Linked DNA regions of Callithrix jacchus. The protein of the gene in region 1 interacts with the protein of each later gene in a pairwise test. Links are inferred from orthologs where the notes say so. Each region holds a gene or a part of one and is shown on either strand. Other genes may lie near its edges.

Region 1 (4,338 bases):
TCCACCCCGGCACCAAGTCTTTTGCTGCTTATGTCTAAAGGGATCGCCTATATTTAACTGCCTCAGTGACCTATCCTCTTTCTTCTCATGTGCCAGATGTTAAGACGAAGGAGGAATACAACACATACTCAAGCCTCAGCTGTTTAGTTGTTTTCACTGGGGCTCGCTTTTCTGGGATGGTATATATTATCAGACTGGCAAGCCTAACTCCATAGGTTTACAGGAAGTAGGCATATTTTTATAAAACAATTGTGTCCTCCCCACATTTTGCTATGTTAATATTTGCCTCTAACAATTTGCAGCTGTTTCACTTTTTCCTCATTTGTCTCTAAGTTGAAGGCCTTGTTGGAAGGGACAGCACAGGAACAGCCTTGACAGTCTGTAATTATTGTACAAATATTTTAATAGCATATAAATAAGTATATTCCTTTTATTTTGAAACAAATGATCAGACACTGCCTTTTTTGTGTTTGCTGCCTGTGGCACCCTTTTTTAAAAAGACTGTTACATATTAAAATAGTGTACATATATATATAAATATTACCTCTTTTGCTGTACAGTTGTGATAGAGACTGAAGATTTTATTTTTTGTGTGCTTTTTATAAGAAAAAAATTAATACACTAAAGAATCTTGCTGATGTGATTGTAATGTACCTATGTAACTTATTTACTTTTGAATGTTCTTCTGTATCTTTAAACCTTTTATTAAATAAGGTTTTAAAAATTCAGAGTTGCATGCTGTGTTCTCTGGGATTTTCACCATCTGGGATTGATGTAAGTGGGTCTTGTCTTGCTTGCACAAAGATTACTCAACATTTTCGAACCATACGGATTCTCTTTTAGCAGCCTATTGTCAATGATGCCAGCCAGGAAAAGGGAAATAACATATTAATGTTTACCTGGCTAAAAGATGACTGAGTAGACATAGACAAACATCTTTTTTACAAAATTTTAGACAAGAAAAAGGCAACTCCGTATCTTACAAAAATATACGTAAATGGCACACGCCGACATTTTGGCTGCGTTGGGATGAAATATGCAGGGTGCAGAGTGTGGTTGGGGGAACAGGGAAGCTACGGTTCTGAGGATATTCTCACGTGCAGGGTGGACTGGCTGAGCAATCTGAGATGAGTCCACCATGAGGGATGCATTTCCAACAATATCATCTTAAGTCCACTCCAGGATTGGGTTATTTTTAAAATACGGTGCTTAGCAGTCTTTGTTCTCTGTTTAAAAAAAAAAAAAGAAGAAGAAAATTACGCCATCAGAGAAACAGGTGCCCGGGGCACCATGGTAACCGCTGGACTCCGCCCCACCCCCACTCCCCCGCCCGCGGTGGGCCGCCAGAGCAGACGAGTCTCGTGCAGGCTGAGAAGCCGTTGCCATGGCGACACCCGAGCGGCTCCGCCGCGGGGGCGTGACGGAGTGGGGCAGACGCCGCTCACGGGCTGGCCCCACCCTTCACTGCTGCAGTAACATCGCCGCAGGTTGCGGGTAGGACACTACGTCTGGGTAGCAGCGCAGTGCAGATCGTTGCGGCCGCCGCTGCTCATCCTCTCTTCTGCTGTCTCCAGCCCAGCTTCGCCAGCTCTCCTGCTCCTCTGTTGCCTTCGTTTCTGGTCCTCGGCGGTCCTCGCCACCCTCCCGGAAGAGTCCCTGCTCCTGCCAAGAAGCCGCTCTCAGCTGGCCCGCAGCCGCCGCGACTTCGGCACAGTCTGCCTGTGCCGGGTCTCCCAAACGACCTCTCCTCGCCCTCGGAAGACCGGGCTGCGACCGCGAACGCCAGATCCTCTCTGGGAGCCGCCGCGAGCGCCCGACGACCACACCTCGGCGGTTCTCGGCCCATCGCGCCTGCCTTCGCCGCCCGCCTTCGCTCCTTGCCCGCTCCACGACGACGCGACGCCTCGGCTGCTGGCAGCGGACCCGGACCCGGACCCGGACCCAGACGCAAGATGGCGACGGCTGCGTGACTGCCTCAGCGTTTCCGAGCTCGTCTCCAAGTGCGTCCACTGACTGACTGTGGGGGCAGGGAAGGGCGAGGTCAGGACTCTGTGTCTTTGTTAATCGTGACTGCGTGAAACTCGCCTCCCTTGGGCCTACTTGGGGGGAGTGTCTGGCGTTGTTCTAAGGCCAGGAGCAAGGTGAGCCACTGTCTGTTGGTAGAATTAGCGTCTTGATAGTTGACAAAATGGCGATGATACTGTTGGAAGACTGGTGCAGGGGAATGGATGTGAACTCCCAGAGAGCTCTGTTGGTCTGGGGCATCCCAGTGAACTGTGATGAGGCTGAAATCGAAGAGACCCTCCAGGCTGCGATGCCCCAGGTGCCCTACCGAGTGCTTGGGAGAATGTTCTGGAGGGAAGAAAATGCGAAAGCAGCCTTATTAGAGCTCACTGGCGCTGTCGATTACGCCACGATCCCCAGGGAGTTGCCGGGCAAAGGAGGAGTCTGGAAAGTGTTCTTTAAGCCCCCGACTTCCGATGCTGAATTTTTAGAAAGATTGCACCTCTTCCTAGCTAGAGAGGGCTGGACCGTGCAGGATGTTGCCCGTGTCCTTGGGTTTCAGAACCCTACTCCGACCCCGGTCCCAGAGATGCCAGCAGAGATGCTAAACTATATTTTGGATAATGTTATTCAACCTCTTGTTGAGTCCATATGGTACAAGAAGCTGACACTTTTCTCGGGGAGGGACATCCCAGGGCCTGGAGAGGAAACCTTTGATCCTTGGCTGGAGCACACTAATGAGGTCCTAGAGGAGTGGCAGGTGCCAGATGCAGAAAAGAGGCGGCGGTTGATGGAGAGTCTTAGAGGCCCCGCCGCTGATGTCATTCGCATCCTCAAGACCAACAACCCCGCGATAACTACTGCCGAATGCCTGCAGGCGCTTGAGCAGGTGTTTGGGAGCGTTGAGAGCTCTAGGGATGCCCAGGTCAAATTTCTGAACACTTACCAGAACCCGGGAGAAAAGTTGTCTGCTTATGTCATTCGTTTGGAGCCTCTGCTACAGAAGGTGGTGGAGAAGGGGGCCATTGATAAAGATAATGTGAACCAGGCTCGTCTAGAGCAGGTCATTGCCGGGGCCAACCAAAGCGGGGCCATCCGAAGGCAGCTGTGGCTTAACGGGGCTGGGGAAGGGCCGGCCCCAAACCTCTTTGAGTTGCTGGTGCAGATCCGTGAGGAGGAAGCCAAGGAAGAGGAGGAGGAGGCTGAGGCCACCCTTCTGCAGTTAGGCCTGGAAGGGCACTTCTGAGTCCCAGGAAAGGCAGCTTTAGTGCAGACCCAGATCACAGCTACTGTCCTTGTCCCTGTGGGGTCTTACAGATGTGTCTGAGTAGTAAAGGCTTAGTCCTGTTACATTTGTTTTTGGAGGGCAGGATTTGTCAGGCCTGAGTATTCATGTAACATTCTAAAATTGTGCACGCAAGCACTGTGAGCTGCTAGCGGATCTTGCTGGCTACAATGCCGTTTACCTGGTTGGACACAGAGCTTAGTGCACGCGGTCATCATGGCCATCATAATCAGTTGTGAAAAACGTGTGAACCTGTGACACTTCTATTCCACGTTGAATGTGAAATTGCATGTTCAGATGTTTACTGCGGGGCCTGGCTCACAGGAAGTGTTCAGTAAAAGTGTGAACTGTTAGATTACTGATATTGTGGATAGTTTTCTGTCTACCATAACTTGTTCCAGATTTTATTAATGGAAGGGAATGTGCATTTATTATGACTCAACCTTACAATGTAAACGTACTATTTCTCATCTTTAAACATGTGGATCAGTTTAATTGAAAAGTATTCTGATACTGCAAAATGGGATGTTAAAAACTGCAGTTACGGAGCTGTGTAACCCATTTTTCACTGCATAAGATACAGATGTAAATTGCATGGAGAGGTTGATGTGCACCTGTTAGAGTAATTCACTTCCCCAATTTCAAATCTTTGTCAGAAAATAGTTCTTGTTCATACTAATTCTGAGTGTTCTAAATTTGAAGTTACATACAGAAATAAAAATGTTTTTCGATTTCTGTTGTCTTCTCCTTTTGCTGGCATGTACAAACATCTTTAGCCTAAGTAAACTCTGTCCATTTTTCTTATGAAGACTGTCATTAACTCAAACCATATGTTTTACTTACCACAGACACTCAGCATGTCTTCACCCACTACCCATCATTCACAGAGCTTTCCCCTCCATTCCCACCAGCATCAGGTGCACACTCACCCACCTCCTACGCTCTACACATTCACTGCCATCTCCCACTCAGTACTCCCACCTTAACATACACCCTCTTCCCACTCCACATGTACACTCTGCCAATCTCCCACCCCAACATATATTCCC
Region 2 (3,682 bases), on another chromosome or scaffold:
GTCAAGTCTCTTAGTAATTAATGACGTCAAACAAGTTTTCCTTGTATGCCTGAAGACCGACCCATGTGCCCTGTCAGTCTGACTCAAGGGGAGCCAAAGGGTTCCTGGGATGGAGACGTGGGGCGGGGGCTTGGAGCAGCTCAGGTGCGTGGGCTGAGCCTCCTGCATTGTGTTGCTGATTTCCTAGCTTTGCACAGCTCCTTGTACTTCCTTCTTTCTGCACAGAATCAGCTTAAAATGGCTCGTTTCACGATTGTGGATGGGAAGATGGGGAAAGGGGTCAGCTTCAAAGACGTGGCAGGAATGCACGAAGCCAAGCTGGAAGTGCGAGAGTTTGTGGATTATCTGAAGGTGAGAGCCAGCGCTGACCAGGAGGGAGACGTGAGCAGACAGATGACCTGCCTGCTCTCCCAGAAGGCGTTTTGTGGGGATCAGAGCCTTGGGACCCGGAATTCCATCGATGATATGTTGTGGGTTGGTGGTGGCCTCTCACCTGTCCCATGGTGCCTGTTCAAGCAGCAGCGCAAGCTCCATGCACAGGGTTCAGCCAAGGGGAGGGTGCTGAGGCCCACGCCTGCTATGCCATTAGCCATCCTGGATTCCTGGCAGAGCTCTGTGCTTTTCCCAGAACCACGTAAACCCCATACGGAGTTCGTGGCAGTGCATGACCTGCCTTTCATTTGCGCCACTTCAACATTCTCTCTGAGGGCGTGGTGTGGTGGATCATGCCTGTAGTCCTAGCACCTCGGGAGGCTGAGGCAGGGGGATTGCTTGAGCCCAGTAGTAGGAGATAAGCCTGGGCAACAGTGAAACCCTATCTGCAAACAATGTTTAAAAGTCGCCAGGCGTGGTGGCACATGCCTGTATGGTCTCAGCTGCTGGAGAGGCTGAGGTGAGAAGGGGGCTGGAGCCCAGGAGTTTGAGGCTGCAGTGAGCTATCATGGCAGCCACTGCATTCCAGCCTGGGTGATGCAGCAAGACGTTACCTTTAAAAAAAACCTGAAACCGCAAGTCGCCAGTGTCACATTGTCTACTGCCATCCAGAGCCCGGAGCGCTTCCTCCAGCTTGGCGCCAAGGTCCCGAAGGGTGCGCTGCTGCTCGGCCCCCCTGGCTGTGGGAAGACCCTGCTGGCCAAGGCGGTAGCCACAGAGGCCCAGGTGCCATTCTTGGCAATGGCCGGCCCGGAGTTCGTGGAGGTCATTGGAGGTAGGTGTTGTGGTTGGGGGCTGTGGATGGCTCCTTTCACACATCCTTCCTCAGGCAGCTAGACTGAAGGGGAAGCAGGTGGGCGGGGAGGAGAGAGGGAAAGCGAGGCTTGGCTTAGAGGAGGTGTCTGCGGCGCACATGATGTCTACTTTGAAACTGCTCTCACTTGGGCCTGTGAGCCAGTACGGTGTGTGTGAGCCTTGAGGGGCTGCCAGGGGCCCCCGGGAGCAGCTGCTGTGTGTCTCTTTGGAGGGCTGAGGCTGGTAGGTTGATTCATCTTTGGGGGACACCTTTGTCTGGCCCAGGCACAGGAAGAGGCTCTGTCTTTCATCTGCCCATTTCCTGGTTCTCTCTGTCCCCTCAGGCCTTGGTGCTGCCCGTGTGCGGAGCCTCTTCAAGGAAGCCCGAGCCCGGGCTCCCTGCATCGTCTACATCGACGAGATCGACGCGGTGGGCAAGAAGCGCTCCACCACCATGTCCGGCTTCTCCAACACCGAGGAGGAGCAGACGCTAAACCAGCTTCTTGTGGAAATGGATGGTCAGTGCCTGTGCGCCCCGCGCCCCCATTGCACCATCAGAGGCTTCTGATGTTCTCAGGACACTCATTTTCTGGGTAGATGAAGCTGTTTACATTTATTGTTCCAGCGTCTTAAACTAGTGCTTATGAGACGTGGTTTGTCCTGAGTCCCTGGTGTCTGCTGCCCCTGTGCCCCTGCATGCTGCAGGTGGAGATGATATGAGAGCACACACTATCAGCAATTCGTAACTGGAGAGCAGTCGGTGGAAAAACTGTCATCATTGTGCTGTGCTCAGCAAACACAGCTGCGGTGGCTCACGCCTTTAATCCCAGCACCTTGGGAGTCTGAGGCTGGTGAATCACCTGATGTCAGGAGTTCATGACCAGCCTGGCAATTTGGTGAAACCTTGTCTCTACCAAAAATACAAAAATCAGCTGGCAGTGGTGACACATGCCTGTAGTCCCAGCTACCCAGGAGGCTGAGGCAAGAGAATTGCTTGAACCCAGGAGGTGGAGTTTACAGTGGGCTGAGATCACACCATTGCACTCCAGCCTGGGTGACAGAGGGAGACCCCATCTCAAAAAAGAAAAAAGAAACACAGATTTTAATTTTTAAAAAGCAAGGTCAAGGCAATAGTATAAAAGAAAACTAGGATTATAAGTGGTTTGTCAGATGTAATTTTTTTTTTTTTTTTTTTTTAATTACAGTCTTGCTGTGTCACTCAGGCTGGAGTGCAGTGGTGCGATTTTGGCTCACTGCAACCTCTGAATCCTGGGTTCAAGCTATTCTCCTGCCTCAGCCTCCCAAGTAGCTGGGATTACAGGTGCCTGCCACTATGCCCAGCTAATGTTTGTTTTTTGAGCTGGAATCTTGGTCTGTGCAGTGGTGCGATCTCAGCTCACTGTGTCCACTGCCTCCTGGGTTCAGGCGATTCCCCTGCCTCCACCTCCAGAGTAGCTGGGACTACAGGCCCCCATCCCAATGCCTGGCTCGTTTTTTGTATTTTAGTAGAGACGGGTTTCACCCACCCTGTAGTGCGGGGATTACAGCCACTGTGCCCAGCCCTATTTAATTTATTTTTCATTTAGTAGTTTGTGTTTTTTTTTGAGTCTGTCGCCAGGCTGGAGTATGGCGGCACAATCAGCTCACTGCAGCCTCCACCTCCGGGTTCAAGTGAGTCTGTCTGATTGTGTGGCCATGTCTGTCTCTGTGCCACGTGGGGAGGGTGTGACACTGGTTAGGGCGCCACGGCCGGGCACCTCTTGTGTGACTCCTTGAAGATGGCTTCTGGTCCGGCTTTGACAATGTTTTTCTTTTATATGGAGCTGACCCAGTAAAAGTGACATGGAATTGTTTTTTTTTTCTGAGATACTTTGCAGGGTTATTTTTTGGGGCTGGCTTTTGTTGTAGCAAAATGTCCAGGTAGCCAGGCTTGCTGTGCATGCCTGTGTTCGCGGCTGTTGGGGAGGCTGAGGGAGAAGGAGTGCTGGAGCCTAAGTTAGGGGCTGTGCTGTGCCGTGGGCTTCCTGTGAGCTGCCACTGCACTGCAGCATGGGTGAGGCAGCCCGACCTTGTCTCTAGAAACAATTTTAAAAATACATTAACGTAAACTGGCCATGTGGATGGATCATTCTGAAGTTTATCGTAAACTGGCCGTGTGGATCATCCTGAAGTTTTATGTAAACTGGCCGTGTGGATCCTTCTGAAGTTTTACGTAAACTGGCCGTGTGGATCATTCTGGAGTTTTACGTAAACTGGCCGTGTGGATCATTCTGAAGTTTTACGTAAACTGGCCGTGTGGATCCTTCTGAAGTTTTACGTAAACTGGCCGTGTGGATCATTCTGGAGTTTTACGTAAACTGGCCGTGTGGGTCATTCTGAAGTTTATCGTAAACTGGCCGTGTGGATCCTTCTGAAGTTTTACGTAAACTGGCCGTGTGGGTCATTCTGAAGTTTA
Region 3 (3,682 bases), on another chromosome or scaffold:
CAATTATTAACTTCCCTAATTTTTAGAAATAGTTTTTATAGAGTCCAGGATTCTGCAGTTAAGTTCCAGCTATATTCTAAGTGCTTTCAAACATTAAAAGGTAAGGAAGAATACTAATTTATAATTTAGAAAAATAACCCTACATAAATACTCTACAAATCTTTAAATTTTATAAAAAGTTAACGTTTACATTTTTTAAAAATACATTTACCTTTAGTTGTACATCCTAAAATTTAGTTGTGTTAACTTCCATTAAGAAACAAAGTTGTGTGTGATTCTTGGACATTTCACCTATTAATTGCTCTGCTCATTGTGATATAAAAATAATACCTACCGTACAAAGTTTAAGTGAAGTAACACATGTAAAGACTTTCGCAAAATACATGCTATTAATATTTGGTAGGTACCTCAAATATTTAATTTTCCTAATACAGCAATACATGCTATTTTGCGAAATACCATAACTTAACAGATGCCACTCTCATTGTAAAATACATATTTTGGAAAAATTAAAAGGATATGTAGCCTCAAGACAATTAATCTGTAGCTATGGAAAATAGTACTAGGTTGAATTGTTAGTTGTGTCTAAAGTTTATGTATGTCTTCTTACGCTGTGATTCACAAAATGAGACACATTGCCGTATCGAGCTGCATCCACTGTGAATTCATCAGATTCATAGTCCAGATCAAAGAGATACGTGATTCCTTTATTGTCATATAACTGTCCCCGTCTTTCAGCTTCTTCACTTGTGATTACCTAAACGGAAAAAACTATAGTATATTATGTAGCTATTGTTGAACTAAAGAAGCATTCATCTACATACCTATTAATATGTGAATGCCTACAAATATTTAAAAAGTAAGAAATTCAAGGGTCATCAAAGCAAACATTCACACAAACTAAGAATCAGATGGAAAGAGGTGGGAAAATGAGGAGAGGAAAAATGCTAGTGCAAAAGATTACTTTTTTTTTTTTTTTTTTTTTTTAAAGGGTCTTTCTCTGTCACTCAGGTTAGAAAGCAGTGGTGCCATGACTCCCTGCATCCTTCAACTCCTGGGTTCAAGTGATCCTCCTGCCTCAGCCTCCTGAATAGCTGGACCACAGGTGCACACCACCACACCCAGCTAATGTTTTAGTTTTTGTAGAGATGGGGGTCTTGTTATGTTACCCACACTGGTCTGGAACTCCTGGGTTCAAGTAAGCCTCCAGCCTTGGCTTCCCAAAGTGCTGGGGTTAACTGTACCCAGATGATTTATGACTTTTTAAGCAGGATTTGAGACACTGCATTACTTTCATTATAATTAGGATGTTCAAAAAGCTATAGCTCTCTACAGGACACAACTGAATGTTAAGGACTAAATCTGCAAGTATATAGTCTAAATATGATCCAGGCACATTTTTCCTGTAAGTTATCTATATGCAGTTACAAATGGAAAATTGTTAAAAATACAGGGGAGAAGCTATGTTAACTCTGGAATGGAAAGCTTTGTTTTGTTGAATAGGTTATTTTCATGAAATTCTGTAAGTCCAAAAGCATCATCTATAGTTCTGCTCTTAAGAACACAGTTTTATGACATACTCAGCTTAAGAAACCAAAAGTGTCTAAAATACTTTATGTTAACAACCAAATTTGGCTGCTGCACTCATTAGGAATGCAACTTAAAATTTTGGTTAACGAAAAGAAAATTTGATTATGCAAGATGTTGTATACTGAATAGTAATTTACAATAATTTACCACTGTCTTAAAAGTATAACAAATTAAAACAGACATCTAATTTCAGAATTCTAGATGAATACAGATAATTATAGGTGACCCAATTCCAACTAAAAAAACCAGAGTTGACAACTTCAGATTTGCAGCCACATTCTTATCCTTCTAGTTACAGCTTAACTCACCCTTCAGTTCTAAGCAGTGTGGTGCCATGGTGAAGACTATATGGTCAAGATGCAAAGATTCTGAGCTTTGCATCTTGCTTATTTTATTACTATGTGACCTATGTGACCTTGGGCAAGGTGCTCGATTTCTTTCACTAAAATAATGGACATAATAGTACAATCTCCCCCCCCAAAAAAAAAAGTACTACCTGAGTTGTGAAGAGGATTAGTAAATTAATACATCAAGTGCTCAGAACAGTATGTGACACGTGGCAAATAAATATTTTTTACATTTATATATATATGATTTGCATAAAAGTACATTTGCTAGTATTTGGTAGTTTTGAGAATGGTCTTCACAGTTCAAAAATGAGTTACAGATGCACAGTCTAATTTTCTTATGGATGCAATATACTATCTTTCATATTGATACAAAACAGAGTTCTGCCAACTACACTTAACCATATTTGGTCAAATAGATGAAAGAAATTACAACTTTCAAGTTTTAAATCTGAGTTTCTTCTTAGGACTTTTGGGTAAAAAAGTTGTCATATTTTAAATTTTACAGGCTGGGTGTGGTGGCTCATGCCTGTAATCCCAGCACTTTGGGAGGCCGAGGCGGGTGGATCACCTGAGGTCAGGAGCTTGAGACCAACCTGACCAATATGGTGAAACCCCGTCTCTTTAAAAAAAAAAAGAAAGAAATTTTACAAATGCTAGCTTTCATGAGTGGAAATGCATATTTGTTGAAAGATGACTATACTGAATTGTTAAAATATATATTTTTGTTCATTTTTTATTTCTAAATATGCCAGTGAACTCTTCTAAATCTGAAAATGAATTTCTACATATCTGCAAATGAAAATATCAAAATGTACCAAATCTGTTACAGAGATAAAAAGGTAATTTTCTAAAAGTACAAACCTTACATACCCATCATTTGCTATGTGGCAAATTAACATACCTCTCCAACATATTCCATGACAAAACTCATCCTTTTAATCTTCACAAGGGTCTTTACACCCCAGCCACGGCCATTGCTAGTTCGAAAGATGCAAAGTGAATACTGTGTGCCTTTTTGTACAATCCTATTGGGACAATCAGGTCCACATTGACACCTTGAGTTGCATTCATAGATGGGAGTACCAGGTGGGATTTTAATTTGCTGGTTTTTATTATAAGCCAAAAGAACTCCAGCTTCAGCAGGACAACATTTTTCAAAGAAGCAATCTGTGCATGAACAACCAAAGGTGGCTTCATTGACTAAGCTGATTCCAGGAGCTGGTTTGTATTCGTTAATGTAGTAGAAGTCTGAAGGTGGGCCCTCTAAATCAACCGTATTTTCAACAAATATCATCCCTTTATGATTCTTCCTTCTGTTGAGTTCATCTTGCCATCTCTGCAGAGCTATCCTTTGTTTAGCCTTCTTCACAATGTACTCAGCGATGGCAGGTTTCAAAGTTTTGTTATTGTCTTTTGGAGTTATTGCTTTGCCTTTATTTACCTGAGATAAATAATTATGCTTGTCATTAGAGAATTGCTGAAGCAGTAACGGGCACTTCAGATTTTGCAAAGGTTCCCAAGTATTTGTAGAATCTGGCCATCCTTTCCATTTTACAAGATAATATTCCATATCCTTAAAATAAAAAAGAAAATAAAATGCAAATCAGATGGTTATTTCCCAGTTTTACTGAAAATAGTTAAAAATCATAAAGAATAAGGTATCCATTACCATTTTTCTTACTAATAGTTCAGAACATGTAGTAACAGGTTCCTAACACATGAAGTACAAATCATACAAATAA
Region 4 (4,442 bases), on another chromosome or scaffold:
GCCTGGCCAATATGGAGAAACCCCATCTCTACTAAAAATACAGAAAATAACCAGGCATGGTGGTGCACCTGTAATCCCAGCTATTCAGGAGGGTGAGGCAGGAGAATCACTTGAACCCAGGAGGTGGAGGTTTCAGTGAGCCGAGGTCATGCTATTGCACTCCAGCCTGAGTAACAGAGTGAGACTCTGTCTCAATAAATAAATAAAAGGAAAGTTATTGTACACATCATAATAAGCCAAGGCAATAAACTCCGGGAGGCTCATCCCCCAAGCCCCTAACTTCTTCCTCCCTCCAGCTGCTCCTTTTGGCTACAGCCCACCTTCATTACCATCCCAGCCTCTCTACCTGGAATCCTGTGCCCCCAACTCCCCTGCCTCCCCAGACCCTGTTCTTTCTCCCTGGCAGCCTGCTCGCACAGAGGCTTCTCAAAGGTGACCTGACCAGAACAGACTTAGAGCAAGCTCTATTAGGCAGCAGAATGTTGGTGTACAGAAGACAGGGCCTTTACCTCTGTGGGCATGGGGGCATGTCTCCTTAGGACACCCCTGCCCATTACTCTCCCTCTCCAAATGGGGAGCATGGCTGGGGCTCCCTAACCTCCTGCTGCTTGCGAAGCCTCTCTCTGGCATCTGAGAGGGGTCAGTGTCCTGCGTCAGCCCATGAGATGACAGACTATAATAGCCACAGGATTAACATAGCAGGCATTGTCTTTCTCTGACTATAGGGTGGGTATTATGTGTTCATCAACCGTCCTAAAAATACCCAGTAAACAGGTGCAGCCCCTGCGGCACCAGTCTCCTGGGATCTGTTGGCATCTGGCTGGAGATGAAGATTAGGGCAGGGGAGAGATGAATTACTCTCACTGGGTTCCAGGCATGGTACTCGGTTGTCTCCTGATTTCAGGAAACCCACCTGGAGGGGGATGCAGTGTCTGCAGACCCTAGGACCTCCCTGAGCGTAAAGTTGTGCCTTGCTGCCGCTGCTGTTCTGTTCAGCCCCAGAAACTCTCGCTGGGTTCAGCCTGCAATGCTGCTCACATCACTCCCCCTCACAGCCAGCACCCTCCTATCCCACGTGCACCAGGGAGCCACCGAAAAATCCCTGAAAGCTGAGTCTTCAGCCCTCTCCAATTTTGGAGCATGGGTTCGGACGCCTCATTTCCATATTTCCTTGTAAGAGATGCGGGGTTAGCCCAAAAGTCCTCTTCCCCCAGCCACTACTGGCCCCTCTGGGCCTTTGCCGTGACCCCTGGCTTTCCCTTATTCCCCCTCCGTGTCTCATCTCTGTTCAGTCCCCACACCTGGTCTGGCTGTTTAGTTTCTCCCTTCCTGCGGCTTGAGCCTCCCTAGGCGGGTGCTGGTTTCACTCGGTGGCACCTATGTGTGTGTGCTCCGGAGTCACAAACTCACGTGACTCTAGGCCTGTGTGCCTGTGTGTGCATTGCAGCACGCATCTGCCCTATGAGGGGTGTGTGTGGTGGGAGGGGTGGGAGGGAGGAGGGGCAGCAGGAGGGGGCAGTGGGTCTGTTCTATTTTTACCGGCCAGTTGCTGCTGGCCACAGTTTTCATAGCCTCCCCTTGGCTCTGCCCCTCACAGTCTGCAGTCTACGGCGAGGCACAGGCCAGTCCCGCTCCACAAGGACTGAACGAGGTAAGCGTCCACAGCCCAGGACCTCAGATCTAGGTTCATCCCAGGCAGAGACCCTGGGGCTTTTGTTTAAGGAGAAAGCAAGGAAACTGTTTCTTGCCTGTACAGTGTTTTGCTGGTAGAACATTCCTAAAAGACTCCCACGGCGTTTTGTCCCACAGAATGGCATCTCTTCTGCAAAACTGTAGTGAGAGGCGAAAGCTTTTCCTGGCTATTAGGAGGCTGGGAGCAAGGAGCAGAATCTTCCTCCAGGTTCCTTAGGAGCCCCAGGGCAGAGCCTAAGGGATGGTGCTTTCACACGAGATGCCCAGCAGGGTGTGGGAGGGAGAAGCACCCAGGGGAAGGGGTGGCCCTGGGATCTGGGAGCCGGAGCAGAGGGGCTACAATTGCAAGCTTAGGCAGAGCCGGGTGAGCGTTCCAAGTCAGGAATGCCTGCAGCAGGAGAGAAGGAGGGTGCAGGCGCAGGACTCCCAGGGAGCCTAGAAGGCAGGGCCAGAGCCCTCTGCTGACCAAGGAAACCATCTTGCTTCTGTGTTCTTTGTCTTTGAGGGATGCTGTCTCCTCCCTTTGCCCATCCCTCTGTACTACAGCACAACAGCAGGGGGCGGGGGCAGACCAGCAACCCCTCTTGACTGCTCCTGCTCAGCGCTCCTGGCTCTGAGGAGCCGCAGTAGGTATTGGGGGTCCTCTTGGAGGAAGGCAATGGTGGCAGCATTTTGGTTTGGGGCACAAGAGCCAGTGAACACATAAGCCAGGGCAGCATCTACAGGGCAACCCAGGGCTTGGGACAGGGCGCTGTGTGGTTGGCCCGGACTCGGGTGGGGGCTGAAGGCAGCATCTGCCACCGGCTCTGGGAGTCATAGTCCCACAGCAGCTCTGAGATTAGGCTTTGCTGTTCAGAGCTCAAGATGGGGTTGTGGTGTGTGGTAGGAAGCCCAGAGCCATGGGCTTGGGAGTGTGGCCTGTTAAATAACCATCAGTTAAGGAGGACAGGGATGCCCTTGAATGGGGGTCCAAGGTCGGGGGCAGGGAGCAGGGGGAAGCACATCAGCCTAACTAGATACTTGTGGACGTGATTATTGGGTGTGCAAAGTGATCAGTTTCTTCTCCTACACATACACTCTGTCTCTCTCGCACACTCTCACACTCACACACAGTCACATTTACACACACACACACACACACACACACTCAATTTCATAGTCTAGTTGATCGTCCCTTCCATGCTGCAGAGCCTCAGGGAAGGGAAAGCCCAGCTCTGAGGCAACCATCAGAGACTTTGCACCCTCCCTCGGGTGGAGGATTTTCTCATTATCTCCTTGCTTGCTACTTGTGGGGGAGATGGAATCCTGGCTCTCCAAGCCTTCCAGTGGCTGCTATCTACATCCTGACTTCTTATCAGCCCTTGCTTGTCTTCTACAGGGCCCGTGTCTGGTGGGTGTGAGAGCACAGGCTGAGGCCTCTTGCCTGACGTGGGACCCCTCGGTCTGGCATTTGTCAGTGAGGCAGGCTGGGGGCAGGCCCTAGAGCTTGGCAGGAGGTGCAAACTGGCCTTGGCAGGTAGGGCCCCACACTGGGGACAGTTGGCTCTCTGAGGGAGAGAGGGAAGCATGATCCCTGCCAAATGCCCACCAAGGACAAGGCACATCCCAGGGAGGCAGACACAGACCTGGTGCCCTCTGGACACTGGCATTCCTGGAGGCTGGTGATGGACAGATGGGCCTGGAGGTGTCTCTTCGCTAGCTGGTGTTTCCTTTGGACTTCCTCAGTGTCTTTGGAGAAGGAGAGCCCTCAGAAGAAGCAGCTGCCTATAAAATCTAATTCCAGCCAAGCATCTCAGGAATTCCTGGATGGTCTTCACACCCCTCCCTTTGTGCCCCAGCATGACAGCTGAGACTCGGGGGTCACACTACCCTCCACCTCCTCCACCCCAGCCTTACCCTCCCCTGGTGGCAGAGGCAGAGGTAGAGGGAGGCCCAGGAGGCTTTCTGACCCAGTGGAGATTCAGGGGAGGTGGCCAAAGCTGTGTTCACTGGGGTCTGAACAGTGCTTCATGGGCAGCAAGGGAAGGGAGAAAATTAGGGCAGAGGAAGGGGTGTCTCTGGGATGAAATTAGTGGCAGGCACTTTGCAAGGGTCCTTTAATTCCCCACCTCCCAGGCCCCCCAACCAGGTTCTTGAACCAAGTTCAAACTCCTGGCCCTGAGCTCCATGCCTGCCCCCTCCCCACACACCGGGCTCTCCCACCCTTCACTTCACAGCCTGGCCCACCTGCTCCCCACCTCAGCTGTCCCTTTCCTTGCCCGGAGCTTTTGCACAGTTCTCCCCACCAGCCCCCCACGTTGGAATGCTCTGTGTCCAGGCCCAGGCAAGACAGTGAAGGATGTCTGGCTTTGGAACATCTCCCTCCACAGCTGGACAGACCCCCTCTTTGGCCTGGGCCCCAGGATCACCTGGTCAGGGGGCTTCAAACTGTGCGACACCATCAAATGTCCTCACAGAAGGCCACAGGGCTGCTTTGATAACCCCCTTCCACTAGTGCCATTTTGCTCTTTTTGTTCGTTTGACTTTTAAGTTCAGGGGTATGTGTGCAGGATGTGCGGGTTTGTTACACAGGCAAACGTGTCGTGGAGGTTTGTTGTGTCAATTATTTCATCACTCAGGTAGGACAGACGTACCCATTAGTTCGTTTTCCTGATCCTCTCCCTCCTCCCAGCCTCTACTTTTTGATAGGCAAAATGCCATCTTGCTTTTACTGATTGAGTTTATTTTACTTTCAAGTAAGATTTGGTTGG
Region 5 (4,289 bases), on another chromosome or scaffold:
CAGAGGTTGCATTGAGGTGAGATCACACCACTACACTCCAGCCTGGGTGACAGAGCAAGACTCGGTCTCAAAAAGAAAAAAAGAGAAAGTCACAAATTGCCTAGTCCAACGTTATATTGCTGGAGGATGGCAGAGTTGGGACAGGCCCCAATTTTGCCACTTTAGCACAGATTTGCCGGGGGTTACTGAGGGGACTCTTCATTGATGGGAAGTTTTCAAGTAGCATATAAGAGAACGATGAGGAAGTGGAATATGTGGAGAAACGTCTAGTGGGAATCTATGTGGAGCTGGCAAGGAGGGGGGTTGAAGAGAACTCACTTCACAGAAGAATTCATTGCCACGGAGCCCACAGAACCAGGAAATCCAGGACACCTCCTCTGAGCTGCTCATCTTCACGTCAGCTGGAAAACGAAGAATGTCAGTAAAGCTCAAGTTCTCCCTCCTTGCCTCTGGTATCCTCCCTCCTCCCACATTCGGCCCTCCAACCACGGGAGACTTTAGAATTTGGAGCCGTCCTTTTTTAAAGGATCCCAAACTCTGAAACACTCCTCTCCAGCTCCTCTAATTTACGTCTCAGCTCCTTTTCTTTGAGGTTAAACACACTTTGGGGTCCCACCACTTGAGAGAACCCAACAGATACTTTGACCCACCAGCCTGACCCACATCCCTGGAGCTCCCGAAGGCCAGGGCCCTCTCTACTTTGTGTCACCTCCAGCACGGACCTCGGCTCAGGCTCCCTACCACTGCAGCTCTCTGCATGACCCCGGCGCCTTTCCCAAGCGTTTCGAAGTTTATCATTCTCTAGCAAGAGCCGGGCCCCTCCTCTTCTTATGGGCTGGAGCGACCGTCAAGTCCCTTTCACTGGAGTCCACACATCTTGCCTCCGCTCCTCAGGCCACCTCTCCCTCCTTTGTGCCGGACCTGGTCGCTTCCTCCCCCGCCCCCACATCAAAGTACGGAGACCCCATGTGCTGCTCCCAACAAGAGACTCTGAGTAGCGACGACCTCAGACTCACCGCCTGGACGGGGACCAGGACTGGGGTGGGGTAGGGAAGTCGCTAGTTCCAAAGAACGGCGGCGACCGCTACAGCGCAGGCCGCGGACCCGACCGCGGCAAGAGAAGTGGGGTGGGGGGGAGTGGAAATTGGGGAGGGTGGGGAAGAGGGCAACACGCAAGCGCCAAGGGTCAGGTGCTGCGATGGATGCCGGGACACGGAGTCCCAGGTAGAAAGAGAAACTGGTGAAATGAAGGAAAAGCGAACTACCAATCCCAGGAAGACCCGCGGACGACCTGGCTGTCACGAAGCCCCGGAGGAGGACGCTTGCGGGCGGGGCACAGCGAGAAGCCACCGGAAGCGGAAGCCAGGTATGACGTTTGGGGCCAGGGAGCCTGGGAAATATAGTTGTGTGCTCACTGGGAGAAAAGCCGAGATGGGGCGGGGAGAGGAGGGAGACACGCAGTTCCCGTCTAGTTCCGGCGCAGCGGGGCGCTGCTGCCCAGGGGACTGGCCCATCCCCGGCCAATCCGCTGGGTCCTTATTGATTGTTGAGCCCCTAGTGAGAGTCAGTCCCGCCGGACACCCTTGACTGGCCTCCTGTTACCCTCCCGGCTCTGGCCTCATGAGGCGAGAGGTGCAGTTTGGCTCCGTGCGTAGGGACTTGGGTTGGGTGGGCTGGGCTGAGCTGAGCTGAGCGTTGTGAGAACCAGAACGGCCCAGTGCGGTAACCTGAGGTGGGGCCAGCCATTTCGCTCGTCCCCTTGCACTTCTCCTTTTACGCTCTAAGTGTGACCTTAGAACCCTGGTCAGAGTAATGGTGAGGGGCAGGCGTGACGTTATTTCATTTCACGGCTTCTCGGCATTCCACAAGTTTCCCTCCGCCTCCTGAGGGCCTTTCCTAACACGGAGAGTGGATTCCCAGGTCCAGAAAATGGACTTGGAGCGAGGGGGCGGGGAGGGGGGCGGTTCACGTTGAGGAAGGCGAAGGGCATTGTGGGGGCGTATAGGTAAAAGTAGAACCCTAACCGACAGATCCTGGTGCTCGCGCCAGCGGGGCGCGCAGAGCTTTGCGCGTTTGCTATTGGAAAGGTTCCAGCGCGGGAAACTGAACTGGGAGCTTTGCGCACGCCTGAGCCCTCAAGTAATGTGGGTTGTGGTTTTTGTTGTTGTTGTCGTCGCCACGCATGCGTCTTCGTGCCGTGCGGCTGTTTGATTGTGTCAACTCTTCTGTTTAGAATAGTGCCATTTTGCCGTACGAAAGCTACACAGCATCGCAGACTGGAGCCTGTCCTCCAGATCTTCCTAGGGAGTGACTTCTGTTTCGGAGAAAACTCCAAAATGGTATCGAGGAAGATTTAAAGGGACAGGCTGATTTTTTTCTTAATGGTATGTGTGTTTTACGGAGGGGTAAAATGGTTTCAGAAAGAGGCTGGTATTTATTGTTGGTGAGGATGGGGGTGGGAGTGGGGGCGGGACGCAGGACCGCTGGACAACTGTCTCATGGAGTTTTATTAACCTTTGCTAAGGAGCAGAGTCGGTTATTGTAGGGTTCTGTGTTTTTACAGAAAACCTCTTTCCCTTAGGCCCTGCAAGGTCCTAAGTTGTGGCGTCATTTTAGCGGCAGGAGGGTGTTTTTTGACTAGTTTTTCTCATCCCAGCATGTCCCTGGAGACTCTGGTTGCTACAGGGGTCACCAGTAGCTTGGCTTGCTTGTGTCATCCTTCCCTTGCCTGGTTTCATTTTCTCATTTCTCCCAAAAGCCATGTCCCGGCCCTTCCTCATCACCTTCACCCCAGCCACTGACCCCAGCGACCTCTGGAAGGATGGGCAGCAGCAGCAGCCACAGCCCAAGGAGCCAGAGTCCACCCTGGATGGGGCTGCAGCCCGAGCTTTCTATGAGGCCCTGATTGGGGATGAGAGCAGTGCTCCTGACTCCCAGAGATCTCAGACTGAACCTGCCAGAGAAAGAAAGAGAAAGAAAAGAAGAATAATGAGGGCAGCTGCGGCAGAAGCAGTGGCAGCAGGACCATCAGGAAGACATGGACAAGGGAGATCCCTTGAGGCTGAGGAAAAGATGACTCAGCAGATACTGAGGGCAGCCCAGGAGGGGGACCTAGCAGAACTTAGGAGACTGCTGGAGCCCCATGAAGCAGGAGGATCTGGGGGGAATATCAATGCTCGGGATGCCTTCTGGTGGACCCCACTGATGTGCGCTGCTCGAGCGGGCCAGGGGGCAGCTGTGAGCTATCTCCTGGGCCGTGGGGCTGCCTGGGTGGGGGTCTGTGAACTAGGGGGCAGGGATGCAGCTCAGCTCGCTGAAGAAGCTGGTTTCCCTGAGGTGGCTCGCATGGTCAGAGAGAGCCATGGAGAGACAAGGAGAACAGAGAACCGGTGAGGGGAAGCTAGTTCAGACCCATGTTTCAGTGTGTTCTGCCTTTCTCAGCCACTCCACACCAGAGGCCCCAGCACAGTGCTGAAGAGTTCTTTCCTTATGGTCATGTGTAAATTGTCATGGTGGTGTAGTCAAGTGGTTATGAATGTGAGCTCCCTGGATTGATTTATGTTATTATTTTTTTGAGACAAGAGTTTCGCTCTTGTTGCCCAGTGATCTCGGCACACCACAACCTCTGCCTCCTGGGTTCAAGTGATTCTCCTGCCTCAGCCTCCGAGTAGCTGGTATTACTGGCATGCTCCACCACACCTAGCTAATTCTTTACTTTTAGTAGAGACAGGGTTTCTCCATGTTGGTCTTGAACTCCCAACCTTAGGTGATCCATCTGCCTCGGCCTCCCAAAGTGCTGGGATTATAGGCGTGAGCTACCATGCCCAGCAGCTCCTTGGCTTTAAAGCCTGATTCCACTTACTTGGGCAAACAACCTAATGTCTACATGTCCTAGTTTTCCATCTTAGAAATGGGGGTAGTAAGGATTGTTGTTAGTATTCAGTGGGTTAATACATGTAAAATACTGGGTGTGGTGGCGCCTGCCTGTAGTCCCAGCTATTCGGGAGGCTAAGACTGGAGGATCTCTTGAGTCCAGGAGTTCTAGGCTGTAGTGTGCCATGCCGATTGGGTGTCCTCACTAAACTCGGCATCAATATGGTGACCTCCTGGGAGTGGGGGACCACCAGGTTGCCTAAGGAGGGTGAACCAGCCCACGTCAGAAACGGAGCAGGTCAAAACTCCCGTGCTGATCAGTAGTGGGATCGCACCTGTGACTAGCCACTGCACTCCAGCCTGGGCAACAAAGCGAGACCCCATCTATTAAAAAAAAAAAAAAGGAAAAGAAGAAA
Region 6 (3,682 bases), on another chromosome or scaffold:
CAGGCTCCCAGTTTATGCTGAGCTGCTCTCAACCACACTCTGAGGACAGTAAGGTACTAAATGACCATAAGGCCCAACATAAATAGTCATCTACTCCCTCTCCCCAAACTGTAACTTTTAGGGATGGTGATGTGAGCTTCAGCTAATGACTTTCTTTCCTCCTCCTTCTGTTTTAGAGAGTAGTGTGTATAAGATTTTTTAAAAGCACAAAAGAGTTGCACAAATAAAAGGTATCACTCGGGTTATTTGTTAAGAGAACACTGATTTACAGTTACAAGCACACCCAGTTGCTATGGTACCACTGCTCCCCACATTCATTGCAAATTACATAAGTCATCATTTGTTCATCTGCGTTTGAATTCCGCACCCAGGTGGGAAGGAAAAGTGTTCCTCTGGCAATTGTGGTGACTTTGCAATTGTATTTCTCACAGCGTCTGCATTTTATTTTATTTGTCTGTGTGCCATCAATCACTTGGGGAAGGTAATGTTCCTGAATACAAGATTCTGTGTAGGAGGCTCTCAACTGCTTCAGTTCCTTATTGGCCATCTCCATGACACTCATTTCAGCAAACTCTCGTGGAGACATGGTCCCAGAGAACAAGTTTTGTTTTAAGTGAGAATTTTTGGGGTTCTTCAAATTGGCAACTTTGCTTCTGATGCAAGTTTTATATTTTTTGATGTTCTTTGAATAAAGGGTAAAAACATGCTCTTCAATTTCTCTTGCAAAGTTTTGCCACAAATCGGCTCTGGGTTGATCTGTGGAAGAAGTAGTTAAAGCTGAGTAAAGAAGCTCTATGCATTTAGTTCTCATGGGTGTTGGATCCAGCAACTCACTTGATCTCTTCCCAGTGGATTCAGGGTCACCATCCTCAAAATGCTCTTCCTTAGGTTTCAATTGAATGGCTCCATTTTCAGGCACAATCATTTCACTGGGTTTTGCAACATCTTGGGACGATAGAGAATTCGAGCTGCAGATGCCCAGTGTCTCATCATAACTTGGGTCATGAGAAAGTCCTGAATTTTCTTCTTTATTACCCCTCACAGGAAGTAATTTAGGGCTGTCCCTTGCTTTGAAGTGAGTCTCTTTATAAACAGCTTTCCACTTTGATAGCAAACACTTGGCTTTCTTTTTCAAAGCCACAGAGGGGCAGTTTGTCAGGACTCTGTACACAACTCTGACCACATCTGTCTCCTGGAGATGCTCCTTAGTCACATAAATTGTTTCTAGCTCAGTAAGGTGGTTGCCAAGATCCTCAAATTTCCTTTTAGACATCAGTTGCTCAATAAGGGAGGCTCTGGCAGCTATCTGGTTCTTGTTAGACATCTTTACAACTGCAAAGCAAAAAAGAGGTTTCCGCTTTCTTAAGTTTGTCTTTGCTGGCTACAGCTTCTGGATATTAAAAAGCACTTTTTGTCAGTTACCTAGGCAATGTTTTATGAAGGAGTCATGTAATACAAATGCATGTGACATGCTAGAAAATGGAATCTTTAATGTGGTATGGTTTACTTTCAAGAGTTTAATTCCTACTAGTTAAAAAACAAACAAACAAACAAAAAAACCAGTATTGCAAAGCCTCTATATAACATCTGCTTAGAGGCTTGCTGGAGGATCTGCCATAGCTTGTCCAGCTCCAATTTTACAAATCAATTATCTTTAATCTTTTAGTCATTCCATTTGGGTGGAATCTGGTGGTCATGCTGGAGATGAAATCATGCCAGTGTCAGCATCAATATGGCAAGGCTGAACAGTGCTAGACTGTTTTTCCCCCAGAGTCAGCTACATAACTGAACTACTTGCTCATTTCATAATCTTTAAAGTGGCATTCTTCTGAATATAAAAGAGTAAGAAACAGGACAGAAAAGGTTTGCTAATGTCTCAAGCAATCTAAGGAAACTGTGAGATAGCACAGGTTGAAAAGCAGCCAGAGCTAGATCTGCAGGTCCCAAAAGCCAACAGGCTACACTGTGCTGCCTTAGGAGTCTTCTGAACAAGGGAAAGGTTCATTCTCAAGGATCCAGGTGATTTATGACTTTAGACTTACTGGTTCCTACATTTTGGTTTCGTTAATTTAAAAAAAACTTTTTAAGTGTGAAAAGTTGCTCAATGATTATGTCTGTGTGAATCTCATCCTAGGCAGGCAAACATTTACTTTATCTAAGTGGTCTATTTTTTCCCTCCACATAATGTACATAATCCTGTCTATATGATGTCCTTGGATCTATATTTATCTGTCTGGTCTAAATGTAAACATATGCATCTTGACAGCAGGGACTGTGTCTTTTCAAAAATCTATGGGCTCTGTTTTATAGCACTTGATACTAAATAATCACCACTGAACATACACAGGCTAAGAACACTAAAGTGATTACAGAGAGAATTCATACAATCTTCCCAATTACCATCTGACAAGTGACATAAAACACAATGACCTTTTAGTAATCCTACTTCCATAAATTTAAGTAAATGAGAGAAGTGGAGACTGCATATGTAAGAATTTTCTTCTAACTTAGGAGAGACTGGAAGACCCTCAAACAGGAGAATGGTTAAAAATACGGCATACTCCCAGGATGATACAATAATGTAACCATTTAAAAATCATGTATTTAGATAATATTTCATGACATAGAAAAACAGTCATTATGTGAAAAAAATCAAGATTTGAAACTATATATGAAACTACAGTTATCATATGACCCAGCAGAACCAAGAGAAATGAAAACGTATGCCCACACAAAAACTTCCACACTAACGTTCATAGCAATATTATTCATAATAGCCATAAGTGGGAAATAATCGAAATGTCCATCAACTGATGAATGGATAAATAAAATGTGATTCATCCACACCACAGAATATTATTCTGCCATGGAAAGGAATGAAGTATTGATACAGGTTACAACATGGATGAACCTTGAAAACATTATGCTGAGCAGAAGTCAGACACAAAAGACCATATATTATATGATTTTATTTACACGAAATGTCCAGAACAGGCAAATCTATAGAGACAGAAAAAAAGATTAGTTGTTGACTTGGTGGAATGGGACAGAAGAGCAGTGGGGTGAAGGAGGAGCAGCAGCTGATAACATACAGGATTTTTCTTGGAGGGGGGTGGGACAAATAAATTTTCTAAAGTTGACTTATTTGTGGTGATGGGTTACCCAACTGTGAATATACTACAAAACACTGAATTGTACACTTCAGGTGAATTGTATGGCATGTGAATTACATCTGAATAAAGGTGTTATTTAAAAATAGAATCTGATCCAAATTTTATTTAAGAATTATATGAGAAAAGACTGAAGAGATACACAAAATTTTTAAGAGGGGCATTTTCTGAATGGAAAGATTTTAGGTAATTTTCATTTGTTCTTTTACTCTTTTCTGCATTTTCTGTGATGAGTATGTATTGTTTTCACAATCAGAAAAGTTATAGGTCTAATATGATTTCATGATAAACTGTATACATTTAAGATATCCCTACTCAAAAATGGTGTGAGTGATGGATCAATCACCTTCTACCCACCTTCCCTCTGGAATGATACATGTACTTAACATTACTGAACTGCACACTTGAAAAGGCTTAAGACAGGCCGGGTGCAGTCACTCACGCCTATAATGCCAGCACTTTGGGAGGATCCTGCCTTGTGATCCGGTGGGCGTGGTGGCATGCACCTGTAG
Region 7 (4,271 bases), on another chromosome or scaffold:
TTACGAGGTAGACAGGGGATTTATCCTGAAGAGCTCACAGTGTCGTCCGCTGTGGACTGAGCCTGCAGACATCTTCCAGCCCAGGGCCAAAGGATAAGGGTCAGAATTTCAGGTTCACCAAACTACATCCCTGGTCCGCTCCTTTAGTGTAAGGAGGAGCACCAGCATGACGAGTGGTCAGTAATGGGTGCAAAGGGAGTCGGGGGGATGCCTGGGTCTAGCTCTGGCTCCAACACCTGCCTGCTGAGTTACTTAAGTTAATCTATCAGACCTCAGTTCTACCCTATAAAATGAGGACCTACCAGCTGTGTTACTTGAGCTAATCTAGCAGACCTCAGTTTTACCCTATAAAATGAGGACAGTGATGGTGTCAAGTGCATAGAGCGTATTAAAATTCATCAACAAAGATTTTTGTGTAGCTTCTACACAAAATCTACACAGGGAACCCTGTCCCTGCTAGGAACAGGGTTCATGTCCTAACTAGCCACCTGCTAAGACTGAAACCCTGACCCACTGTTTCCTCCACTTTGGCCCCCACAGGTCCAAGTTACTGCTATGTCTGGCTGGGCACCTCCTCCTGCCTCCATTCACCCTAGGCCTCATTCCCACCTCCCACAGCCTGAACTCATGCCCTCTCTTTGGACTGCTCAGCTTGTAGCTTCCACTCTGCATTAGGTATGTGGACATTGACTATTACTGGCGGGCCTAGCCACAGAGCCTAGGCCAAGGATTTACTAGTTTGGTCCTTGTCTAACTCACACTAACCACCTCTCCTGTTTGTTGTTGTTTTGAGTTTGTTTGTTTTTGAGGCAGGGTCTCCATCTGTTGCTCAGGATAGAGTGCAGTGGTGTGATCAAAACTCACTGCAGCCTCTACCTTCTGGGCTCAAGTGAGCCGCCCGCCTCTGCCTCCGCCTCCCAAAGCGAAGGGATTCCAGGCGTGAGCCGCTGCTCCGGGCCTCACCTGGCCCTCTATGTTGGGCTGGGTGGGAAGTGGGAAATGCACAGGGTCACTTTCAAATCAAAGTCAAAAGCACTTTGCTTACTCCACAGTAAGCAAAACTTACTGTGTAGACCTCAGTGCTCTACTGAAAGCAAGGAGGATTTATCCAAACTCTAGTTTTGCCTCCGGGAAAACTGAGGCACAAGGCAGCAATGATTCCTGGGAGTCCTGCCTCTGCCCCTCTAGGAAAGGAGCCTATTCTAGGGGCCCTACTCGGAAGGGAGGGCGCGCACCACAACTCCCAGAGGTCCCTGGGCTCCGGGGGCGGTCCCGGTACGAAGGAGCCGGGCCCACCAATGGGAGCCCACAGTGGGGCGGGGCGGGGCGGGGCTGCGGGGAGGCGACCGGCCGGCGGCACCGTGAGCCAGTAGCTACAGGAGCGTCGAGTCCGTACGGCTACGCGCTGAGGGTCTCTGGGCGGGCGCCGCCGGACCTCGCCGGGCCATGGGTAAGTGGCTCTGCGGACGGCCCAGGATCTGCAGGGAGGGCCAAGGCGGTGGCGCCGGGTCCCCCCAATCCTCGTCGCCGTCGGTGGCGCCGTGGGGGGCGGAGAGGGGCGCGGGTCCCGGGGAGCAAGCCTGGCCCATAGTTTCAACGCCCCCCGGCCGGCGGGGAAAGGGTGAGTCTGGGCGTCCGCTCGCGCTTCGAGAAAAGGAAAGACAAAAAGTTTCGGCGGCCAGGGGCTTCCCGGGCGTTTATCTCGAAACTCTTTTCGCCGACTCCTGCCTGAAATGTGCCTAGCCCGGTACGTCTCTGTAGTCCCACTTCCTGCTGCGGTTTCCACCTCGAGCTGGGCTCAGCTAATTTGTTGTGACAGCTGTCGGCAGCCACCCCTCCGCCCCGTGACATCCCGCGGGTTTTAGAACCGCGGCGCCGCGGGGCACAGGAGCCGGGTCTAGGGCGCGCGGCGCTTTCCTCTGCGGCCGCCGTTTCCTGAAAGGGGCTGAGCGGGTGTGAAGAACTTGCTCAATGCGCTTTGAAGGCTCGACTGTTCCTCTTTCGGCCGCGGGCTGCGCCGATGGTCCGGGGCGCCCGGCTTCTCGCCCCCTGTCCTTTCTCTCTTTTCCTCTCGGGTCTCTCCGCGCACCCATCGCAGCCCCGCAGGAGAGGGGTCGCTTCCCTGGTTGCTCTCCTCTCCTGTCCCGAGTGTGTCCCCTTCCCTTCCCTTGGTCTGAGAAGGGACGGGCTGGCGGCCGGGGAGCTCAGGGAGAAGAGGGCAGGAGCGCAGGCTTCGAGCGTGCGGGAGATTCCTGGCTTCGCGCTCGGCCCGAGCTGCGGGGCAACCCGGGACCGCACACAGTCACTCAGCGGTGTCCAGGAGTCGCCTGGGCCAGGGTCGCGTCACCCTCCACTCCGCGCCGGCGTGGTAGGGCTTTCGGGATGAAGGACTCCCGAGGACCCAGGGGGTCCCGAGGCACTGCGGGGCCAGTGCCCCTTTGTTTGCAGAGTCTTGGGCCAGCAAGGAGGGCTCTGCGGGCACCAAGGGAGGACAACAGGTGCCTCGCCCCACCCAGGCCTCGTTGGTGGAAGCCCACACGCATGGTGGCGTCTTTGTGACTACAGGCAACGCTAGAGCACAGGAGGAGTGGGAAATGGGGGCTCGAGGGCTTCACCCCACAGCAGAGCTCAGAGCCCAACCTAGGCCGTAGGGACCCGCCTGGGGCCTAGAACTTGACGCGGCAGAGACGGAAAGGGCCTCCGAGAATCTGCCTCTACAGTTGGGAGACATCTTGGAGAAGTCACCTGGCACCTCTGAGCTTCTGCCCCCCGTAGGTGCAATGGGAACACACGAAACCTGCGGAGTTCTCACTGTCAGTCACCACCAAACGTGGCCGAGACTCGGTGGGGCGGGACAGTGAGGGTTGAGCCCCATCCTGGAATAGGGGCTTTTAGGACATCCCAGAGCCCGGTAAGAGGGACAGGGAGAGTGGGGCTTGGAAGTTGGTAGCCTCACATTCAGTGTCCCGCGCACCCTCTTCCCTTTCTTTACCCTCTGGTGGCTCCTGTGACCTCAGCTGCCCCCAGACCCTGTCTCTCTCTCCCTCCCTCAAGCTGAGGTACTGAGGCTGGGCTGTGGCTTGAGCTGCACCTGTGCCCTGGTGGGGATGGGGGTGGGCCCAGGTCCATCGCGTTTCTCCTCATTGCTGGCTTCAGCTCAGCCCTTGGCAGGCCTCCCCTCCCCAAACTGCCAGAGCAAGCTCCGCGGAGACTTGGCCTGCCGCCCCTCCCCAGCCGCCGAGTGGACCCGCCGCTTCTCGGCTTCAAAGGCTGTCTTTGTTTCGCTCCAGCTCAAGCTCGGAGAAACTTAAGCCAACAACCTCAGCCGAGGGGGTGGGGCGGAGTCTGCCGGTTGTTATTGAGGCTGCTGTTACCATTATTGTGGTAATTGACGCAGTGTTCCCAGTCCGTGACTTTTCATGAAAGGAAGTGTCACTTCCTTCCCATCACACCCTGGGTGAGTGGGGCGGGCAGCAGAAAGTGGGGAGGGAAAGATAGAAGGAAAGAGGTGTGTGCCTCCAGCAGACCCTTAAGCTTGAGAGCTGTGTCACCGTGGACTACTTAGTCACTGCCCCTCTCTGGGCAACAGGAGTCTGTAAGTCCAGTGCGCTCATCCTGCTGCACCCAGGAGGCTGATGTTTCCGGAGCACCGGCTCGGCAGTGAGGCGCCTTGGGGAGGGAGCAGGACAGGCAGACTGTGGTTTGTGGGGGAAGCCTCCTTTCTCTTCTCGGTTTCTTCTGCTGAGAACATTGGGTGCTTTGAGTCTAGCATGCCCATCTTGTAGATGGGGAAACTGAGATACAGAGCAGTGACCAACTTGATGAGAAGTGCAGCCATGAGTTGCTAGAGCCCCTTGGCCTATCTGTCCTCTTGGTCTACTCTCATCTGCTTCCAGCCTGATGTCGGCCAGGGCAGGGGACCAGCTGACTTCCCCACATCCACCCACTGCCCAGTCCCATAGCTACCTTCTAGTCCTGGCTAAGCCTCCTGAGACATTTAAGTTTGTCTTCAGTGACTTTTGCCCACTGCCCCCCACCCCCACTGCCTTCACCTTCCTGCCTTTGCATATTTCCCCTTTGCCAGGTTGGCTGAGCCCTGGCTAGAGCTGGCCCCCTACTCTCTCAGGTAACAGGTAGTTTTTTAAAATGAATCTCAGTAGGTATCAACAGGTCTTTCTTCCTCAAGATTACGGAGATAACACCCCTTATTCAAAGATGGTGGGTCCTCTGGGGCCCCCTGCACCCAGGCCAGGGAAGTTGATTCACAGGGC

The links.
Region 2: the proteins of PNMA1 (region 1) and SPG7 interact in binary tests that used the Homo sapiens proteins (3 or more experiments, as listed by UniProt). The two-hybrid records come from large-scale screens. The link is inferred for Callithrix jacchus from reciprocal best matches to the Homo sapiens genes PNMA1 and SPG7.
Region 3: the proteins of PNMA1 (region 1) and SUV39H2 interact in binary tests that used the Homo sapiens proteins (3 or more experiments, as listed by UniProt). The two-hybrid records come from large-scale screens. The link is inferred for Callithrix jacchus from reciprocal best matches to the Homo sapiens genes PNMA1 and SUV39H2.
Region 4: the proteins of PNMA1 (region 1) and TNNI1 interact in binary tests that used the Homo sapiens proteins (3 or more experiments, as listed by UniProt). The two-hybrid records come from large-scale screens. The link is inferred for Callithrix jacchus from reciprocal best matches to the Homo sapiens genes PNMA1 and TNNI1.
Region 5: the proteins of PNMA1 (region 1) and GPANK1 interact in binary tests that used the Homo sapiens proteins (3 or more experiments, as listed by UniProt). The two-hybrid records come from large-scale screens. The link is inferred for Callithrix jacchus from reciprocal best matches to the Homo sapiens genes PNMA1 and GPANK1.
Region 6: the proteins of PNMA1 (region 1) and TCEANC interact in binary tests that used the Homo sapiens proteins (3 or more experiments, as listed by UniProt). The two-hybrid records come from large-scale screens. The link is inferred for Callithrix jacchus from reciprocal best matches to the Homo sapiens genes PNMA1 and TCEANC.
Region 7: the proteins of PNMA1 (region 1) and ARID5A interact in binary tests that used the Homo sapiens proteins (3 or more experiments, as listed by UniProt). The two-hybrid records come from large-scale screens. The link is inferred for Callithrix jacchus from reciprocal best matches to the Homo sapiens genes PNMA1 and ARID5A.

Annotation. Positions count from the first base shown.
Region 1 is NC_133509.1:108,629,379-108,633,716, reverse strand, and holds PNMA1 (paraneoplastic antigen Ma1), read left to right. Parts: upstream 1-1,469; 5' UTR 1,470-2,188; coding exon 2,189-3,250; 3' UTR 3,251-4,020; downstream 4,021-4,338.
Region 2 is NC_133521.1:47,177,550-47,181,231, forward strand, and holds part of SPG7 (mitochondrial inner membrane m-AAA protease component paraplegin), read left to right. Parts: intron 1-225; coding exon 226-351; intron 352-1,044; coding exon 1,045-1,207; intron 1,208-1,571; coding exon 1,572-1,745; intron 1,746-3,682. UniProt on the Homo sapiens protein: Catalytic component of the m-AAA protease, a protease that plays a key role in proteostasis of inner mitochondrial membrane proteins, and which is essential for axonal and neuron development.
Region 3 is NC_133508.1:15,841,709-15,845,390, reverse strand, and holds part of SUV39H2 (histone-lysine N-methyltransferase SUV39H2), read right to left. Parts: intron 3,514-3,682; coding exon 2,842-3,513; intron 758-2,841; coding exon 611-757; intron 1-610. UniProt on the Homo sapiens protein: Histone methyltransferase that specifically trimethylates 'Lys-9' of histone H3 using monomethylated H3 'Lys-9' as substrate.
Region 4 is NC_133520.1:28,435,226-28,439,667, reverse strand, and holds the start of TNNI1 (troponin I, slow skeletal muscle), read left to right. Parts: upstream 1-1,544; 5' UTR 1,545-1,651; intron 1,652-3,070; exon of another isoform or gene 3,071-3,208; intron 3,209-4,442. UniProt on the Homo sapiens protein: Troponin I is the inhibitory subunit of troponin, the thin filament regulatory complex which confers calcium-sensitivity to striated muscle actomyosin ATPase activity.
Region 5 is NC_133505.1:39,167,602-39,171,890, reverse strand, and holds the start of GPANK1 (G patch domain and ankyrin repeat-containing protein 1), read left to right. Parts: upstream 1-1,416; 5' UTR 1,417-1,647; exon of another isoform or gene 1,648-1,727; coding exon of another isoform or gene 1,728-1,746; exon of another isoform or gene 1,747-2,144; intron 2,145-2,233; 5' UTR 2,234-2,384; intron 2,385-2,758; 5' UTR 2,759-2,760; coding exon 2,761-3,389; intron 3,390-4,289. Other genes in the region: CSNK2B (casein kinase II subunit beta), read right to left, coding at 319-401, 723-798.
Region 6 is NC_133524.1:13,886,196-13,889,877, reverse strand, and holds part of TCEANC (transcription elongation factor A N-terminal and central domain-containing protein), read right to left. Parts: intron 1,333-3,682; 5' UTR 1,325-1,332; coding exon 272-1,324; 3' UTR 1-271.
Region 7 is NC_133515.1:6,485,558-6,489,828, forward strand, and holds the start of ARID5A (AT-rich interactive domain-containing protein 5A), read left to right. Parts: upstream 1-1,379; 5' UTR 1,380-1,446; coding exon 1,447-1,450; exon of another isoform or gene 1,451-1,971; coding exon of another isoform or gene 1,972-2,051; intron 2,052-2,052; coding exon of another isoform or gene 2,053-2,174; intron 2,175-2,176; coding exon of another isoform or gene 2,177-2,504; intron 2,505-2,505; coding exon of another isoform or gene 2,506-2,575; exon of another isoform or gene 2,576-4,271. UniProt on the Homo sapiens protein: DNA-binding protein that may regulate transcription and act as a repressor by binding to AT-rich stretches in the promoter region of target genes.